3 linked regions of the Rhinolophus ferrumequinum genome follow. The protein of the gene in region 3 interacts with the protein of the main gene of each other region in a pairwise test. Links are inferred from orthologs where the notes say so. Each region holds a gene or a part of one and is shown on either strand. Other genes may lie near its edges.

Region 1 (6,993 bases), on a different chromosome or scaffold from region 3:
TCTCCCAAGCCTGACATTCACCCAGGAGAGTATAATAGAGAAAAATAGGACAATAACTACAATCCAACTGGATGCATTTCCAGCAAATACACGTGAGCTATATCATGGCAACAGGCAAGAAAAAAAAATTCAGTAAAAATGAGCTTCCTCTGATAGGATATTTATCCAATAGGTCTACAGTTTGAGGGATAATTAGTTGAAGTAAAATCACGAAACAGTTTTATTTTTCCAATAACTGCCTTACTAGTGCTAGTTCTATCATTCCCCCACTTTCTAGTGGGTAACGGGCTTATTTACATCTCAGTCTTGTTCCCCAACTTTTCAGTCACTTTTGCTTATTAAAATAAAGCAAAATTGGGCTGTTAAAGATTTGGTTCTTTGTATTTTAAAATGCCAGTCTCAATTTTGATTCAGAGTCCTCCTCATCCTTCTAGGATATCTATCTACTTATCTATATCTATAGATGATAGAGATAGAAAGATAGAAAAGATAGATAGATAGATAGATAGATAGATAGATAGATAGATAGATAGATAGATAGATAGATAAAGGTCTTGGTTCACACAATTATGGAGGCTGGAAAGTCCCACAGTGTGCTGTCTGCAAGCTGGAGAGCCAGGAAAACTGGTGTGTAGTTCAAAGGCCTGAGAACCGGAGAGCTGATGTGTAGACACCAGTCTGTATTAGAATTCCTGGAAATCAGGAATGCCAAGGACAGAAGAAGATCAACATCCCAGCTCAAGTGGTCAGGCAGAGAGCAAATTCAATCTTCCTCTGCTGTTCTGTTCAGGCCCTCAATGGATTGGATGATGCCCCCACACACACATTGGGGAGGGCCACCTGCTTTACTCAGTTCACCAATTCAAATGCTAAGCTCTTCCAGAAACACACTCACAGATGAACCCAGAAATAATGTTTAGCCAGATACATGTATATGGGCATCTCATGGCCTAGTTGACACATAAAATGAACCATCACCCCCTCCTTCCCTGTGTTTACTCAGATGGTTTGAGAATTTGGAGGAAGTGGATAAAAAGACACTCTTTATCTGACTACTTAGGGTAAGATTGCTATCTCCATGTGATTAATCATCACTGTAGCTCAAGTTTGATTTCTATAAAGCCTGCTGATAAAGACTCACACCCAAGCAGCTTCCTTAGGTTTTGCTGGCAGCCTAGAAGGTTGAGCCATATCTTGCATGTGACTCCTAGCTGATGACCCTCACACAACATTCCTGTGAGTCATAGATCTCTTTGCCATATTCTGTAAGTTTCTGGTAAGCCTGTATCTCAACAACTATCTTCTCCCCAGCAACAACTCCAGAGCCTGTAGACATGGTAGGATTTATTTTTCACACCTATCCAGAATTAGGCACTTTGGTAGGGGGTCAACCCCAGTCCTTTCTCCACTTGGCCACACCATCACGTCATCTCTGCAAAATGTTCTTTCCAGGCTCCTATAGCACCTAGGTAGCTCAAAATCCCAGTAGTAATGCAGATATCCCGCAGAGGAATGAGAAGTGAACCTTGCTATCTTGTAGATATCCCTAAACTTTATCTACAATTCTTTTATGATCCTACTCCCTTAGCTTTGAGGAAGGGAACCAATCAAATGCCACCATCTACCATAGTTACAGGAGATAAGGAGAGGGGATAGGTTCTTTTTTACAAATATTGTATTTCCCCAAATGTGAGCCCAGTTTCCTTCTTCCCAGTACTACACTACCCTTCTATTATTTCGGGGTAAGAGTCATCAAACCAGTTCACCCTCTTCCTGTCCTTCAGGGCACATGAGTCCCAAACTAAAACTCTTGTGTCCTTCTAACTTAGCCCTGGACTTCTTTAAAATTTTGTTCTTAACATGTTGTTATCTAGCTCCAACTCCTCAGAAAACTCCAGGGGATAAGAAGAGATCTCAATCAATACCTCATAACATTTTAGTAAAGATAACATTTCCAGGACAATTTTCACCTACCTTTAAAACAGCACTTTCATTATAACCAACCTTCTATATAGCATAACACCTGATCTGGAAAAATATACAAATGTATGCTTTCATCCAAGAATATTTGGTGGTTTCAAACAAAAGACTTGTCCCATATGGGTCAAAAAGACAACAACAACAACAAAAAGACAACAGCAAAACATTTAGCCACTAAAAGAAATAAAAATCCCCTTGCTAAACTTCATATTTAATGGTTATGTCACAGTAGTTTCTCTACCTTAAGGAAATTCTTTCTAGGTGATTCCTAATTTTCATAAAAACTTTACTGTATTACTTTACATACAGCCCCCTGAATGAAAAGTCATTCAGTTGTGGATTCATTCAGTCAACAAATATTCACTAATCACCTGCTTGGTATAAGGAACTCATAGTCACTGGATATGCAAAATAGAACAAAGAAGATGTGTTTTGGGACTTCATGGATTTTAAAGACAAGTTGATCTAGCTAAGGAAAGAATTCCGCTCTGCCTACTCTTCAAATTTTGTTAGAAACCATCTAACATAATGGTAAAAAAAGAAATGAGTTAACTTTTATTGAAAATGTATTAGGTTCTGTGGTAAGTACTTGATATATGTGATTTACTTCTAACAATCCCTGTTTCACAAAGGAAACAGAGATCTTGATAAGTAATTGACCCAAAGTCACACATCAAGTTAGTAGTAGAGACAGGATTTACACCCAGACGTATCTGATTCCAATAGCTTATGTTTCTAATCAGCATCCTTTCAGCCAATATCACTAATACAGCTATCTATATGAAAAGTTGTTAACTGTGAGAAAGAACCCAGGAATCACTAGCATTCTTTTAAAAGAGAATTATTGGGTGCAATTTTGTAATTTGAGCTTTTGGAGCTATATATTAATATATCAATTGTGAACATCAAGAAGGAATATATCTGCTAAGAAGGACTCTTTATGATTAATAGGGCCCAAATTCATAATAAGTGTCTAGCAGCCATTGTTTATAGCGGCCTCTCACACTACGTATCAGGGAAAGCTGCAGACCAAGCTGCCAAGCCTCCTGTACTATGTTCCTCCTGGCAGAGCTGACCCTTATAAAGGAGTTCCCGGAATCATATTTTGATCACTTGCTAAACTTCATGGGCTGAGACCTACCTCATCCAATCGAAGCTGTGCATCTATATCCTCTTTTGCATTTTTACCAACCAATCAGAGCAGCTCCATAATGGCCAATCAGGATGCACAATTTTGACCAATCAGGACAGTGCTATTTGGACCAAACTGTGCAAATTTGGATTCCTTATTTGCACAAAAATGGGACAGTCAGGGACCAGGTCAGGCACTTTTTATATATAAGTGGGCCTCCCCTTTGTCTTGGGGGAGCACAATTTCGGTTTCCACCTGAGGCTGTATTTGCCCGTTTTTACAAACTGTTCACCTGAATAAAGTCTTTCCTTTTACCACAGGCCAAATTGGGGATACCTGTTGGCACTGGATTGGTGACAGTGACCTTTTGGTTGACACCGTATCGCTCTAAAAGCACGTATATAAGACTATACAGAGGGTGCCAAAAAATGTATACACATTTTAAGAAAGGAAAACTGTATTAAAATTGTAATGATATATACCTATAACAAAAGATAGATACAAGTCACATTTGACTTCTGCCGTTATAGGAGGTGCTCAAAGTGGTTACTATCAGTGTCCAGACACTTCTGATTATGGCAAACTACTGCTTGAGCAATGTTGACCAAAGTGTCCACTTGTATACATATTTTTGGCACCCCCGGTATATGCACTAGGCATATATTCTTCCTTTATTCAATGCCTCAGCAAGTTTAGCAGGATAGGGGATTACATAGGCGTTTAGCAGGATAGGGGGTTACATAGGCGTTTGGAGCCAAACCTAGAGGCAGTAAGCATTTGTCTGGCCTGTCTTGCCTCAGAGCACACAACTCTTGGTTCCTTTATCACAACCAACATCTAAGGCAGATGGCTTTGGAACTGACTTCTGCATATTATATACTTAACATCTGAGATCATTCTACGGAGGTATTTGTAGGGATGGTTTGGAGGTTTGGAAAGAAAAGCAGGAAATAAAAAGGCTCCTTTCCTCCAAAGACTGTGGTATCAAAAACATCACCTAAATTTATATAAAATGGCCAAGATCTGACAACTGGACTTCTCCCTAAAGATTTACTTTACAGATCATTTTGAAAACACCCAACTGCATTCAGGAAGATGCCTCCCTTTTCTCAAAATGAAATTTTGAAACAAGGCTGTGTTTTAAAAGTGGTTTGATGTGTGGAGCCAGCGAAAATATTTTCTGTGTGGTACACGTGAACATAATCAGTGAGGCTGCTTCATTCTGCAGGATGAAGCATTTCTTTCCAAAATGAAACTAAGTAATTTTTAATTTTTTGAGGCTAGCTGATTAAAAAAAGAAATTAAGAGAAATTATTGGGAAGGATATATACAACCCGCTCTACCTCCTTGACGCTCTTTCTGACAAGTCCCCAGCTCCCTCCTCACCCTAGCCCTCGTTCTAAATTTCCTAGTAGGGAAAGAATTCAGAGGACAAGATGAGCAATAGTGGCTGTGCTTAGTGCGGGGTATGTGGGGGTGGGGGAGATAGGAAGGTGGCCCGCGAGAAGAGGACACAAAGCAAAACCAAGGCCTGGGGCGCGAAGGGGAGGGGTGGAGGGTGTTGCAGACCCTCCTAGGTAAACAGAGAAGGGCAAACTCCAGCCCCAGGGAGGTGATGCCACTTGTGGGCCCTCAGATTGGAGCGGACTGAGATGAGTGACAGGGAGGTGGGCGCTGAGGCCTCGCGCACAAACAGGCGGAGAGAGTTGTTCTGTGCCTGTGCACGAGGCGAGGAAGGGGGGCCGCGCTCCTGCTACACTGGCTGAGGGAGTTGGGGGGCGAGCTGGTTGGTGACGCGGGGCCCTCACGTGACCGGGAGCTGCAGAGCGACGCAGCCTTCGGTGCAGTCGTCACTCCTGTCTGGGTACCAGCTCCCCGCTGCCCTGCACACGGCGGGCTGGCATCGGGCCCGGGGAAAGCAGAGCAGGTAAGGGCCTGAGGCCGCGCGGAGGCCAGTGCGGCAGCTGCCAGCCAACCCCGGAGGCCGGCGCTGGAGATCAGCGCAGCGGTCCCCGCGGGCTTTCTCCACACCCGGAATTCTTGGGAACATAGTGACCCCCCTCCAGGGGGTGGGGATGCTGAGGCGACAGGGTCCCAGGGAGGGCAGCAGAGCAACTCAGCGATGGAAAATCATCCCCGAGCTTCTGCCGAAAAATGATGAACCCAGTGTGGGGAGTGGCGGCGGGAGACGCGGGGCGGGAGCGGCCGGGGGCATCGGCAGGGGTCGGGGCCGGGAAGGGGCCTGGCGGCGGCGGGTGGACACCCAGCGCTCTACTGCAGCAGCCCCGGGTCCCTACTCCCACTCTCTGCAGGTCTGCGGGTCCAAGTGTTGGGGCTGCGCACTCCGGACGAGAATCGGGAGAAGGCGGAGACAGCAAGGATAGGCCCAGGTGGGTGCGGGGGACTTTGGGGGAAGGGCGGGTGCAGAGCCCAGTCTGAGACATGCCCCTCCCCCCCGAGTTCCCCATGCCCGGTTCCCCGTCTCCCGTCCTCCATTTTGGTGTCTGCTGAGCTCTGGGAAAGAATCTTGGGAAGGGAAAAAATGGTGGGCTTTGGGGGAGGGAGGGAAAAGGAGAGAGCTGGAGGGTGGGGCTCGAGTTGGAGGTCCCCTAGAGGGCGCACAAAGCTCCTAAGGTGAGAAAAAAAAACGAAATTTAAAAAACTTTTGATATCAGGGTTCTGAGTCCTACTGGTCAGTGTACCTAGCATTTAATCTCTCCTTGCCCTTGTCTTACTTGTGTTCAAAGAAAAACAACCAGAAAAAAATCATGGCAAATATCCACCAGGAAATCGAAGAAATGGAGCAGCACATGCAGAATGGAGAGGAAGACCGCCCTTTGGGAGGGGGCGAAGGCCACCAGCCAGCAGGAAATAATAGACGGGGACAGGCTCGCCGACTTGCCCCTAACTTCAGATGGGCCATACCCAATAGGCAGGTCAATGATGGGATGGGTGGAGATGGAGATGATATGGAAATGTTCATGGAAGAGATGAGAGAAATCAGGAGAAAACTTAGGGAGCTGCAGTTGAGGAATTGTCTGCGTATCCTTATGGAGGAGCTCTCTAATCACCATGACCATCATGATGAATTTTGCCTTATGCCTTGACTCTTGCCATTTTCCATGAGATTAATATTCCCACTGTTTTCTTTTTCCTTGCATTTCCTGATATGCCTTTACTGATCCGTTTGCTGTGAACCTTATGTAATTTCCATGTGTCAGGTGGGTTCTGTATTACCAGCTTCTAATTGGAGATTGCCTTGGCACCCAGTCTTAAATTTCTGTCAACAGCAGTTTCACCCATTTGCATGGAAAAAATGTAAAGTTAATAAAGCAATTAAAAAGCAATCTGTACATTTATTGTGTCATTAAAAAACATGTTGAACCCTCTGAAAACTCTGAAATCAAATCCCCCGTGCTGTTGATTGGAACACATTTCTCTGTGGTTGGGTAATCTTGTAACTTTTTTCCCTTTTATTTGGAGTTGTGGAAGCAATAAAAAACAATTTTTCAATGAGTCTATGAATGTAGTACAGGTACATAACAATTACTGATTCTACAAACTTAAAGAAGAGAACTTTTAGTATCTTCCAGCCTCACCTGGAAGAATAAACCCTCCTTTAGTACGGATATAGTCCTTTAAAGAGATGGTCTTCTTTGCTGTAAAATGGAGAATAATACTTGCCTTAAATGGCTGCTGAGTGGAATAGATGAGGTGTGGAACTCTGTTGAGCTGCCTCCAGTGCAATTCCCCAGCATTTAACAGGACCCTGGTCCTCATCAGGTACGTGAGAAGGACTAAAGGGAGTTTTCACACATGCTCACAAGTCCAGAGGGCAAAAATAGGTGGGTTCCATCCACCTTGTCATTCCTCATATTTGC
Region 2 (5,916 bases), on a different chromosome or scaffold from region 3:
ATATGAATAAACTGAATAAGAACATATATTAAAATATTTTAAAATATTCATGAAGGACACAGAAGGAAACTTCAATAAGAGGAAAAACATTCATTGTGTTTGGTACAACTCAACATTAAAAACATTTCAATTCTCCCTCAGTCAATGTATGAATTTAATACAATCTCAAAGATATCAGCAAACATTTTTATGGAATTAAAGAAGTTGTTAGAATACTTGTGTTTTTTAAAAAATACAAGAATAGCCAGGATATAAGTGAAAAAGAAAACCGTGAGATACTCATAATGATCCAGAGGTAATATAAGATTTATGTGTTTAAATTGTGTTGCAAGTACTTAATTGTCTCCATTCTCTTTATAAGCTGATTGGCAAATTCTTTGCTTCTTACTTTTTTTCTGATACATATAATCCACGTGTATTCATTTTGAGGAAAAAAATAGAAAAAAGAAAAATAAATAAGAAAAAACACATTCTGACATATTAATATATAATATGCATGCTTGTAAATGAGATAGTGTATCTATAGACTGCTTTTTAAACTGTTTTATTTACGATATTTATTAAACATTTTCCCATGCAAGTTGATGAAACTTCCCTGCTGACAGAAAAAGTTACAGACTAAGTCAAAATGAAATCTCCAATGAGAAAAATGACAGAACACCAAAGGATCACAGCAATAAGTACATCAAGAAAATGTAATTGTGGGAGGCAGGAGATTTATGATTATTAACCTTAGCATTCAAGGCATAAGGCAAAACTCATCATGATGGTCATGGTGCGGGGGATCGCCTATAAGAATGCGCAGACTGTATCTCAACTGAAGTTCTCTAATTTTCCTCCTTAGCTCTCTCATCTCCTCCATGAACCGTTCCATATCATCTGCATCTCCATCTATCATGTCAATGTTATTGACAAGCCTGTTGGGCATATCCTCTCTAAAATCCTGGGCAGGTGGAGCCCAATCCCCTCTAATATTTCCTCCAGGCTCCTGGCCTTCACCACCTCCCAAAGGGCAGGCATTTTCATTCTGCACTGGAGCCTGCTCCCTTCCTTTGACTTCCTGGGGGTTATTTTCCATATTTTTTTCTGCTTCTTCCTAGGAGATAAAAAGCAAGAAAAGGGATTCAATACATGCAACAACAGGATTCAGAGCTCTGTGGGTGAAGGTTTTCCCATCTGAGAGACTTCATGCACCCCCTAGGGGGCGCCCCAGACCCAGCTCTGCCACAAAGCCCACCATTTTTCCTGAAAATCCTTCCCTAGACCACAACTCACACAAAACCTACGACAAGTGGTGGGAGGGACAGTGGTTGAGAGACCAGGGATCCTGAGAAGCCCTCCAGGGGCACCCCAGACCTTGCCCTTCTACTCCCTTCTTTGCTCACCAGACACAGGCCTAATTTCTAAAGACTTGGCCAGGTTTCTCATGCACTTAAGTAGAGCAGGGAGGGCTGAGTCCCCCAGATCCTGTTCTGATCCCTGATACCCTCTACACCACAGGACCCCAGGCACCCTCCTACCTACAGAGATCAGAAGCACTGTTCCTCTCTTAGCCTTGAAATCTGCTGCACCAACGGATCTCAACACCTGCAGACAGAAATATGACAATGGCCAGGACTGATCCCTTGATTAAAGGACAATATGGGGTGGGAAGCACCAGCTTCATTGTTTATTTAGGACTCTGCTAGTCAAATATTGCCACCATCTCTTTCTCCTCCATCTGGTTTCACGGCTTCTTTTCTTACCCTGTAATGCACTACCCCGCCGTCCAGAAATAGGCATTGTAATCAAATATTATTATTTCCAAACCAATCTCACCTCTTCTTTAGGTCCCTTACCCCACTCTTCCGTCCCTCCTGTCACCTAATTACCATTTCTTGAACACAAACGGACAACTTTTGGGGCGGGGTTGTCAGAAGAGCTTACTGGGTAGCGATGTGGTTTATTTATAAAGCATGTCAATCTGGGTATCCCCTAGGACCTTTTGGGACCCAGTGGCCTTTTTCGAGCCCACCTTTCTTCCATTGCCCATCATTTTATGTATCAAGATGGACGAAGGGTGAACAGGTAATATGGGCATTGCAATCACGGACCCGCTGCGGTTAACAGCGATTTGTCATGCCTACCCCACGGTCTGCAAGCAGCACCCAGGCATACACGACCTGCAGGGTCCAGAAACAGTTTCTAGCTCTCTGCCTATATTCCTCAGTTAGAAGCCCGTTCACTCAATAGCCTCCTCCGCAAAAGGGACCTGTTTTCCAAGCCTAATCCCTTTCCCTATCCTCTGCAGCAACCACCACTCCCACTCCCCGCCTCATTCCCACAGCCCACAATTTCTGGCTCCAAAAAGGACGGAGGGTGAAGAGATACTGGGAATGAACGCCTAGACCGGTTGCGGAATTCCGCCCCAACCAGTTGCGAAGCTCGTCAGCCCCAAGAGTCACCGGTTGCGTCCCCCTCCTGATTCCTCCCCGTCCTTCTCTGGTTCTTCCCTTCCAGACATCGCCCAATCGCCCACCTCCTAGTAGCTCCGAAATGGTTCCCATTCTCAACTCTTGGCCCCTCTCGATCTCCTCCCATCAAGCCCTCCATTTCTTGCACCAAACGGGTAGGTATCTGGGGAAGGGGTAGAAAGAATCCATTCCTGGACCCGCCCTGGTTTTGCCCTCTGTCACCTCGGTTAGTGTCCACGAACCTGCCACGGATCGGAGTCAGCTTGTACTTCCTCCTCCTCAGGGCTACCGGCTTGCCTGCTTTCAAGGCAATAGTGAGCCAGCGCACAGCCACAAAAGACTCTTAGACCGCAACTGGAAGGAAAGACTAATCCGCGTTAGTTCTAGGTCTCATAAGGACTGTGTCACTGTGAGCTCAGATCACAATTACCGATCATATCTGCAGTGCGGCTAGGTGCTGGGGGCGGGAGCGTGGGCGGGACCACCTTACTCCTCATTCTCGCTATCTCCCCATCCCTACCGCAGGCTACGGCCCACCCCTTATTATTCCCCCCCCCCCCCGCCCTCGCCATTTAGTAATTTTCGAGACTAAACGGGCAATAACTTTTGTAATTTGTGTTTACCCTTTCCCCTAATTTCTGTTAGAGCTTTTAAAGAATTGCTTCTTTCTCTTCTATACCATTAAACGCCCACTTCTCTCCCCTCCATTCAACAGGAAGTAAAGTCCTGAATTTCTCCTCACAGACTTTTTGGTTTTGTCCCAGACTGAAACCGGAGCAGGGAAGGGAGGTGAGGCTAGGAAGTCTGGAAAAATAGGTAGGAAGTGACTTTACAAAAAAGTTCACCTTAATTATTTCCCTTTTTGTTTATTTATTTTTTTGAAGGGGTGATTGTTGTTTGTTTCCTATCGACGTGCATTCATGTTTTGCTTGTTATAATTAGACAATACAATTATTTTCAGTTAAAAAATAGGATTCGAGTTGTAAAACCTTGGCAACCTGTTTTTGCTGCTGACTCATCCTATAAACATAGATCCTCTAGACAGCACCAGTTCCCCCTTTTAAGGGCTTTGAAATATAAACCTAAGCTGATGGTTCCCCTTTATGAAGGGTCTGTATGTGGTCTTTCTGTGAAGTGAGGCAGGAGTCTAGTAGAGACTTGGTAGTGGGTTTTCAGATCTTGAGAGCCTGTGACAAACTTAGGGTTTCCTCTAAATTTTATTAGTGCAACTTGACAACTAGACTCTAGCATAGCCTCTAAAATAGAGCAATGCTGAGGTCTTCCAACAATTCAGAACAATTGTCATGAGGGGCGGCCTGCAAGGTCTCTGCTCCCGCTCCCCATACAAGAACGCAGCACATGGTGAGGCCAAAAAGGAACACCCACGGAGCCAAAGGTAGGGGACTCATACCACTATACTCTCGCTGGCGGCTGGGTTGGAGACACAGGAAACAGGAGCCACACAATTCTCAACCCTCACTGCGCCGCTTGCAGGCTCAGCCACCATCTTCTTGCTAGCCCCCAATTTCTGCTAGCGTAGCCACAGCAGTTATATTAGTGCCCAGTGGCTCGCTGGTTACAGCTGACGGCCAACTAGCCACAGCTGATGGCCATTTGATCGCAGTCGATGGCCATTTACTACCTGAGCCAGCACCTTTCTATGTGAGGCTGAGAGCCTAGAAACTGCTTTTTGGGGCTCTGTCCCCACAACAATGATTTGAGAAAGTTATGCTGACAGATAAAAAAATATTGTGAAGCTACAATATTAAAAAATATGCGTAATAAATATAGAAAAAAATGAAACAGATGAAAAAGCCAATTGTCAAACCCAAATAGAGAGAAATATTAGTAATCTGATTGAAATATTTTGAATCAGTGGGGAGAGTTTATATTGCTGAAGAAATGGTGCTGGGATAATTGATTATCTATTTGGAAAAAATAATGAAGTGCCTATTTTTATTGTACACTTACATACGGACACTAAATGTTCAGATAAAAAGACATAAAAACATTGAAAAGAGTATATAATAAATGTTATTGTCATGCCGGGTGTCGTGCAGGGTCTCTGGTCCCGCTCCCCGCATAAGAATGCAGGGTATGACAAGGCCAAAAAGGAACACCAATGGAGCCACGGATGGGGGGTTTAATACCACTATATTCTCGCTGGCGGCTGGGTTGGAGATACAGGGAGCAGGAGCCATGTGATCTGCAGCCTGCCATCCACTTCTCTGCCAACGAACCTCACTTGCTAACTGCAATCTGCATTTGCTAGCTCAGCCATGGCAGTTATATCAGTGGGTAATGGCTAACTGGTTACAGCTGATGGCCAACTAGACACAGCTGACGGCCATCTACTACCCGAGCCAGCACCTTTCCACGTGAGGCCTGGAAACTGCTCTCTGGGACTCTGTCCCCACAGTTATTTTTTATATACTATTAGGATGAAAAATTTTGTTAAAAATATAGCACCAGAGACAGACATGCCCAAAAGGCAACTGGCCCAATTCTGCTGGGGACCCTCTAAGTCTAAGGACCCATGTAGAATTATCCCAATTAGTGATAGGAATGTGTAGTATTTATCCACAGGTGCGGGTCATTTATTGGTGGATGTCATCCTGGGAATGTTAAAATCTCTGGCACTTCTGAGTTGTCCTAAGTCTGGGCTGAGCAAGTTCCCAAGGTATCAGAAAGAGCCTGCAGTAAAATTAGAAAAAAACAGATAAAGTAGAAGAAAAATATCAGCTTTATCCTTACCTGAAGAAATATACTATTCAGATTTTACTCTAAGTCAGTCCAAATATTTTCCTTTAAAATAAAGATAATACACATATCTATTTCCATATTTATGGACATTTGGAATGTTTATAGTTTTAAGTATGAGAGTGTTGAATGAAATTAATTGTACATAGCTGTATTTTTTATATACATAACATGAGAGTATTAAATTCCTAGAACTGTCATTGTTATACAAAATCAGACAATTAAGTTCACAAACTTATCCTACAAAAAGTGCTACATACCTGTCATGCGAGGTGGCTTGCGGGGTCTCTGGTCCCGCTCCCCACATAAGAATGCAGGACATGGTGAGGCCAAAAAGGAACACCCACGGAGCCATAGATAGGGGAGTCATAACACTATAGTTCTTGCTGGCTGCTGGGTTGGAGACACAGGAGGCAGGAGCCACATGATCCGCAATCCACACTCTGCCACACTACGTGCTTGCCAGCCACCATCTTCTTGCTAGCCCCCATTTTCTGCTAGCGTAGCCATGGCAGTTATATTAGTGGCCAATGGCTCACTGGTTACAGCTGACGGCCAACTAGCCACAGCTGATGGCCATCCAATCACAGTTGATGGCCATTTACTACCCGAGCCAGCACCTTTCCACGTGTGGCGGAGAGCCTGGAAACTGCACTACTGGCTCTGTCCCCACAATACCTCATTGCTGAATAGCACTATGGTC
Region 3 (7,252 bases):
CTGTGTCCTCATCTGTGAAATAGGTATGACACTAGGTTGCTCCCTCAGAACAAATGAAATGGGAATGTAGGGGAGGCAGTGTGGACTGCATGACAGTGGCTATTCCTGAACAGCACCTCTCTGCAACACCACGGGACAAACAAGGTTCCGTGGCAAGCCTGCGGGGGCTCTGGCTGGATGCGGGGAGAGTTGGCCAGAAGTTCCTGTTTCTATAATTACATCATGGTTATCTCTCTGGCAGGCAAACACAGCACATCCGCAGCGCCCAGCACACACATGGGAAAGCAACAGGAACTGCTGCATTCTGGGACCTGCCGTCTCCAGAGGCCACCGAGAGGCCTGGGACCTGTAGTCGGTTGCAGTGCATGCTAGGACTTGTAGTCTCAACTGTCTACCCCTTTGGACCAAGCTTCTCGAAGGAATTCCCCCTTCCTCCCGCAGCTGTTCCCAACTAGGAAGTATGTTGGCCACATGTGGGCGTGCGTGAGCACATTCACTTTCTCTGCCTTTTTCTCTTGGTCTCTTAATCTGTTACACACACACACACACACACACACACACACGCACGCAGGCACGCACGCGTGCGCGCATGTATGCACGGACAGGGAATCTCAGGGATCTCATTAACTCCCTTCTGCCCCTGTTTTTCTGACTTGGAGCATGGGGTTTTCCCTCAACATCCTGACCACATTTTCCACCCAATCCCATCTCCCACTTCTCTCCCCAGGGCTCCCATACTCACCTTCCCCCCCTAGTCCACTCAGGTGGCTGCCCGCACTGGAACCTGAGAGGTTGGGGCGGCCGGGCCGGGGCCGGGGGCGTGGTGTGGTCGGTGCAGGACCCAGCGCTGGGGCAGGACTCTCGGCACAGGCATCACCCCCGTACCCCTGACAGCACCTCCACTCCATATCCGTCACTGTTTTGTAGGCCACGCGGTAGCGAGGGCGGAGGAAGCTGCGGTACCTGGGAGAGGTAGAGGGAGGGCTCTTTACTCTTCCCTGTACGGTCAGTGACCCTGGCCCCTGTCCTCAGAGATGGGCAGCTGCTGGTGGGCAAGACCTGTCCCTCAGGCTGGGCCACCCTTACTGTCCAGCATGCGGCCTGGCTCCATTGACAGCTGTCAGCTTGCTGGCCAAGGGCCAAATCCCTATTCTTTCTCCCCTTGTGCTGTGCTGGAACCTTGAACTCCTCTCCTTGAGCATGACCCAGCAAGGAGATGGCATTCGGGGGCTGGCAGGGTAGTCTTGGTAAGTGTGTCCTCAATATCCCACCAAAATGTTGCCTCGGCATCTTCTCAAAATGGCTCCGACTGAAACCCCTGGTCCTGCCCCTTGCCACAATTACCTGCTTTGTACAAATTCCCTGAGTTGGCTGGTCGCCTTCCGTCCTAGCCCAGCCCCCTCCAACTACCCATTCCCCAGCGCCGGGGCTCACATCATGCTGCGGTGACACTGGGGCTGGCCCCAGCCACAGGCCGGGATCTCGCGCTTGATGAAGGTCTCCACTCCATCCTCAAGGACACAGCTCACTGTCCGAGTCACCACGTAGGCACACCAGTTCCTGCAGGCACAACCTCACCTGGGCCCGAGGGCCAGAGACACACGCCCCAGAGCAGGGCACTGAGGCTACCAGAAGGGCTGAGGGAGGGTCAAAAGATGAAGGGCCCCTGGGGACCAGTGGGAGCCAGGGCATTGGCCGGGGCAGCTCCCCCCACGCCTTCCTGTACGGGACGGAGTCAATAAAGACTTTTCAAGACAGGAGAAGAGGCACAGAATGGAAAACCACAACTACAAAAAGTTGATACATGGCTGGGGAGGGGGTCCTGGAGAGGCTCTGAATTCACACATTCATTCGTTTCGCTGTCTGAATCCCCAGCTTGGCGTGGCCTGTATGAGCCGGCTGGCGGGGGCCCTCTGGTGATTCTTTGGATGCTGGCTTCCACCCGCCCCGCAGGGGAGAGGACTGGGCAGGCAGGGGTCCAGCTCAAGGTTAAGCAGAGAATAAGCCATTGATGAGCCCTGTCCCCCATGGGGTTTGCAGTTCTGCACTCTTGGCCCCATTCATGCTGGCCTCTGATCTGTGTCCGGCTGGAGACCCGAAGGGAGCAGAGCAGGAGTGGTGTTAAAATCATGGATTACTAGATGGGCCGAGGAAGCCCTACACAGAAATAAAAGGTCTGCCCGAGGATCCCAGGCTGGCACACAGCTGGCCGGAAGGCCTGGCCCACGTCCCTCAGGGTAGTTTCCCTGGGCACCTAACGGCACGTCCCATGGGGAGGACGTGAGAGCCGATCCTATGAGGTTTGATGGGACCCATCTATGCAGGGGGGCCCTGGAAACACCCGGCAGGAAGGTGGGCGTGTGAGGAGCCATCTGATGGATGGGTTTCCTCTCCCGTTCTTCCCTGCATTGGCGATACAGCCCAGGAGAGGGTAGCCAAAGTGGGGCAGGGCCAGGATACCCACCTTCTGACCCACCCTCCCACCTACCTCCAGCGTAGGGCTGGGACCCAGATTCTTACCTGTGGCGGCTGGCAGGCCGGGGGGCACTCTGGGCCTGGGGCCCACCAGGGCTGAGGGCCCCGCCATTCCCCATGTAGAGGCTGTAACCACGAGGAGGGTAGCTAGCTGCCGCCACAGCTGTGGTCAGCAGGCAGCAGAGATAGCAGCTCCAGAGGTTCCTGGGGGCCATGGTGGGGGTGCTCCGCTGTGGCCCTCAGAGGCACATCCCGCCTGACCACTGGCGCCTCTGCTTGGAGTGGGGATGCCCGCTGCTCCAAGTTGGGTCCTGTCCCCAGCTTCCTGCTGGCAGCCCCCAGCCACTCGCCTCCTCCTTGGCCTCCTGGCCTGACCTCTCTCCCCCTCCTCTTTCCTCCTCAGGCTCCCGTCTGTTCTTCCCTTCGTTCCTTCCGCTCTCCTCTTCTCCACCTCTGAGGGGAGTTTGTTCTCAGTGCCCCCGGCCTCCTGTGCCTGGTCCCTGCCCCTCTCAGATGCTGCTTCCTGGGCCTCCGCCCCCTTGCCCCAGCTGGCCCTCCTCTGGTCCCCTATCTGTTTTCCCCAATGACCGGATCCTGGGGGTGACAGGACTTTACCCCTGTGGCTGTCCAGAGGCGCTAGAGTGGCTGTGTGGGGCGGGCCCTGGCCTCCCGCCTCTCTCTCTTGCTTACTCCCCTCCCTTCCCCCCTGTCTGGCTGGCGGTCCAGCCTCCCCCTTCCTCCCCCCACCTCTCCAACCATCGTGCGCCACATCTGCTTCTTGTTAACTCCGGGAAAAAGAGGGGAAAAAAAAAAGGAAAAACAGAGAAATGTGGAGTTGCCGCCGGGCTTAGGGCCAGCCTCTCAGACGGGCCACATGGAGCAGAGCCGGGGCCAGGGCTGGGGAGGAGGCCCAGGGCTGGCTGCTTAGACGGGGAACCGGGGAACAGGAGCTGGAGCCACAGCTCTCCTGGGGCTAGGGCAGGCCTCCCCTGGGATAGACCTGAGAGAGGGGCCTGGAGGGGACAGGAGGAGGGAGGACTGTAATAGGAGAACAGGCTTGGAGGGCTCCGCAGGACATCACTCACAACCAGTCCAGCTCTCTCCTTTTTATAGATATGAAAATTGAGGCCCAGAGAAGGAGAGTAACTTGTTCAAGGTAACACAGCAGATCAACAGCAGGGCTGAGACTAGAATCTAAATACCTAGGTCATGACTTGAGAGAAAGAAGGCGGATAGGAGAGAGGGCTACTGGGTCAAGTAGAAGGAAAAGGACTCCACTGAGGCAGGCAGGAAATTCAGAGACGCCAGAAAAGGAAGAAAGGAATCTGGAGAAGGGGGAGCAGAGGAGGGAGCCTTTTAAAAGGCCAAATGAATATGGGTCCCAGGCTTGTCTTAGTGAGTGTCAGGCCTTAAGTTGGGGAGGGGAGGGAGGTATCTATATAGAAAATAGGGCCCTATCTATATAGAAAAGGAAGTCACTCCCTAGCCTGAAGGCAAGTCTGATAACCTCCGTAGCAGGCAAGGAACTCAGTCAAACTCAACCATCGGCCTGACCCGACAGCTCTTCCTGAGATGTCTGAATCTGTCAGCTGCCCCTCTTCACCACCTGGCCCTCAGCGTTGTGTTCTGGACCAGGTCTCCCTGTGTGGTGAGATGCTTGCTTGTGAGAATGAAGTGGAAGTACTAGATGAGAGCGCTGTGTGCCAAGCACTATGGAGGCACCCAGGTAGCACAGGCAACTGTAAGACTCAGTGAGGAGCAGCTGGGGCTGTTGGGGAATGGGACACAAGGTCCAGAACAGAAAACAAACACAAAGCAGGATAGACAGAGTGCCAAGGGGGCCAGACATTTGTGGAGTGTTCATCCAGACATTTGTGGATGAGGTGTGTTCTGGGTAAGAGAAGGACAAAGACAGCTGGCTGCTGGGGGAGAGAGAGAAAAGCTGTTGAAAAAGGTACAACTTGAATGGCGTTGGGGGTAAAAATTGAAGAATAGAGACAGTGAGGGGAGAGGGGTGTAAAAAAAAAAGAGAGAGACAGTTGAGGGGAGAAATTTCAGGTTGGGGAATGTGGTCTGCTTCAGTTTCCTTTTCTGTAACGTGGGACTAATGATAGAACTGAAGACTTAAAACAACTTTGGTATCATAACTGGTGGCCCCAAATTTGGATTTTTGCAGCTTGAGCTCTGAAGCTGCCCTTTTGGGCTCTGAAACTGCCTGCAGAGCGAGCAGTCCCCCAGTGCTGATTGTGCTGTTAAATAAATTGTACTCCTTGTGTCGCTGTTAAATAATACTCCCAGTACTATTAGGTTGGTGCAAAAGTAATTGCGGTTTTTGCAATTAACCTTTTAAACCGCAATTACTTTTGCACCAACCTAATATAATTATGTGAGCAAAGACAGTCTTTTTGCTCTACAGGCCTGGACTGAAACTAAGACGTGATGAATGCTTAATCATACATTACCCACTGTTCTCACTTCACAACTCCACTTGCTCAATCACTGAGTCAGTCAACTACAGAAAGTTCAGTTTGCCCCCCCACCAATCAGAAAACAAATGAGGTAAGTTTATGATCTTGTTTCCCCTAGCAACCCATCTCTTTGATCACATTAGTTCCTTGCAACTTTTGCCTTTATAACCCTGCCCTGTCCCCTTCATTTTGGAGCATATTTTCTTTTCATACCAAGGACTACATTTCCTAGTTTGCAAACCATTACCTGAATGAACTCTTCACATTTCTTTAAAAAGGTATGTCCAGATTTTTGTTTACAGTACCCTCCTTCCTAGGTTTTTGAGGATTCAGTTAATACATGTAAAGCATTTAGAATAGTGCTTGGTATGTGGTAAATGCTCAATACACGTCAGCTCTTATTTGTGTCAAGAAGAAGTGGCACAAAAAGAGACGTTGAATGTGGAAAAATTAGGGAGAGGCTCAGATGACTGGTTAAGTGCTTGGGTTACAAGCTTTTGAGTAGAGGGTTAATACACACACAGAAAGAAGACACTGTTGGCAAGAGCAATGGGCACGGTGTTAGGGCACGAGGATGCTAGCAGTTCCAGCACCTCCTCTAAACGTAGTGGTATCACTTTGAGCAAATCCCATGACTCCACTGGGGGTCTGTTGCCTGTTGTCTAAGGGCCCTTCCAAATTCTATATTGCAAAGATGCAGAGCTGGAAGAGAAGGCTGGGACTGCCTGGGTAATGAGGGACCTGATTGAAAGAGATACCAGAGAGGATTCCAGGGTTCTAACGCAGATGGGTAAGTGGAGGAGAGGAGCAGGTTTGGAGGAAAGAAAGATGACCTTAGTTTGGATATACAGGCATATCTTGTTTTATTGTGCTTCACAGATGTTGCCTTTTTTTACAAATTAAAAATTATATACATTTTTACAAATTTACTTTCTCCACTAGCAAAAAGATCACGACTCGCTTTATTGCAATACTCACTTTATTGTGCAGCCTGGAACTGAACCTGCAGTATCTCTGAGGTACACCTGTACTGAGTTTAAGATAATAACACATCTCAACGGAAATAAATGTCCAGGAGGTGGTTAGAAATGTGGGTCTTGATTCTGGGAACCATTTGTAGAGCAATGATTGGAAAACATGATAACAGACGCCACCAAATCTTCAATGTCACCCCGAGGTTCTATGGCACAGAACATGATCCTGATGGCTGAAAGCCACGTTGGTGAAAAGACAGGATGGTGAAAGGAAGCACTGGAACCAAGAGATGGAAATTTGTGGCTGCCCCTCAGAGGTGTAGAGATCAGCACACAGGCAGATTTGAAGGAAATGGTCCTAGGAGACCCTGATTTCAAAGTGGCTGTCCCCGGAAGGGTGCGGCTTTGTCCCCACTCAGCATGAGTTCTAGGCCCTGGCCCTGGCAGGAAGCCAATCCACTTCCCCCCTCTTAGTTGCCCTGGCTACTGGTATAGGTTTACTTTCTCTGCTCTTCCCCCTTTTCTCTCCCTTCATGGGGCCTCTGGCAACCTAAAAATTCTTCCCAGCCATCTTGTCACTGCCCAGTGTCACCCATTCCTTCGCCTGTCCCCTTAAGTGTAAAAATTGGTTGTGTTTTAAGTGTGTCGAGTCAAAATGTTGTCTTTGAAATACAATTGCAGTAGGTTGCATTTCATTTAGTCTTGTAATTAGGAGCCAAGACCTAGAGGCTGACATGTCTGTGAGATCTGATAAATCAGTGGCTCTGGGTTCACCGGGGAGAACAATTCCAGGGTTCACTGGGGAGGCCTGAGGTGTTGGGCAAGCAGGCTGCAATGGAGACTAGGTTTAGAGAGAATACAGTGGTGGCTGCAGTGGTGGTACTGGCAGATAGCCACACATTTCCAAAGCAACTGGCAAGAGAATTCCTGAGATCAAAATAGGCTAAGTCCTGGGGCACTAAGACAATATCTATTTTATAACCTCTCCAAGATGGGGGCTTTCCAAGGTAGTATCAATGGGAAATCTTGGCTATACTAGGCAAACTAACTCGTTCAGTCAACCATCACTGGCTGAGCAACGAGCTCATATCCCAGGGCCAGAACACCCAGGGCACTAGTAGTAAGGACATTTTATGTCAATACTATCAGAGGACTGAATATTGGGAGGGAAAAATGTGAATTGGGCCTTCGGATCATACAAACCCAGATGCGAATTCGAGCTTGTGGGGACTCTCGAGCAAAAGTCCACCCGTCCTCAAATGTATACATTTCCTTTCCCTTTCAACCCTTCTGATAGGTACAATACTTTAGGTGTCAACCTCCCTGGACTCAGGG

The links. The genes of interacting proteins can lie anywhere in the genome.
Region 1: the proteins of EMILIN1 (region 3) and BEX3 interact in binary tests that used the Homo sapiens proteins (3 or more experiments, as listed by UniProt). The two-hybrid records come from large-scale screens. The link is inferred for Rhinolophus ferrumequinum from reciprocal best matches to the Homo sapiens genes EMILIN1 and BEX3.
Region 2: the proteins of EMILIN1 (region 3) and BEX5 interact in binary tests that used the Homo sapiens proteins (3 or more experiments, as listed by UniProt). The two-hybrid records come from large-scale screens. The link is inferred for Rhinolophus ferrumequinum from reciprocal best matches to the Homo sapiens genes EMILIN1 and BEX5.

The regions. Positions count from the first base shown.
Region 1 is NC_046284.1:51,631,251-51,638,243, reverse strand, and holds BEX3 (protein BEX3), read left to right. Parts: upstream 1-4,764; 5' UTR 4,765-5,039; intron 5,040-5,424; 5' UTR 5,425-5,502; intron 5,503-5,859; 5' UTR 5,860-5,880; coding exon 5,881-6,219; 3' UTR 6,220-6,459; downstream 6,460-6,993. UniProt on the Homo sapiens protein: May be a signaling adapter molecule involved in NGFR/p75NTR-mediated apoptosis induced by NGF. Plays a role in zinc-triggered neuronal death.
Region 2 is NC_046284.1:52,322,589-52,328,504, reverse strand, and holds BEX5 (protein BEX5), read right to left. Parts: upstream 1,108-5,916; 5' UTR 1,079-1,107; coding exon 740-1,078; 3' UTR 535-739; downstream 1-534.
Region 3 is NC_046296.1:53,566,607-53,573,858, forward strand, and holds the start of EMILIN1 (EMILIN-1), read right to left. Parts: upstream 3,112-7,252; 5' UTR 2,691-3,111; coding exon 2,521-2,690; intron 1,561-2,520; coding exon 1,435-1,560; intron 964-1,434; coding exon 743-963; intron 1-742. UniProt on the Homo sapiens protein: Involved in elastic and collagen fibers formation. It is required for EFEMP2 deposition into the extracellular matrix, and collagen network assembly and cross-linking via protein-lysine 6-oxidase/LOX activity.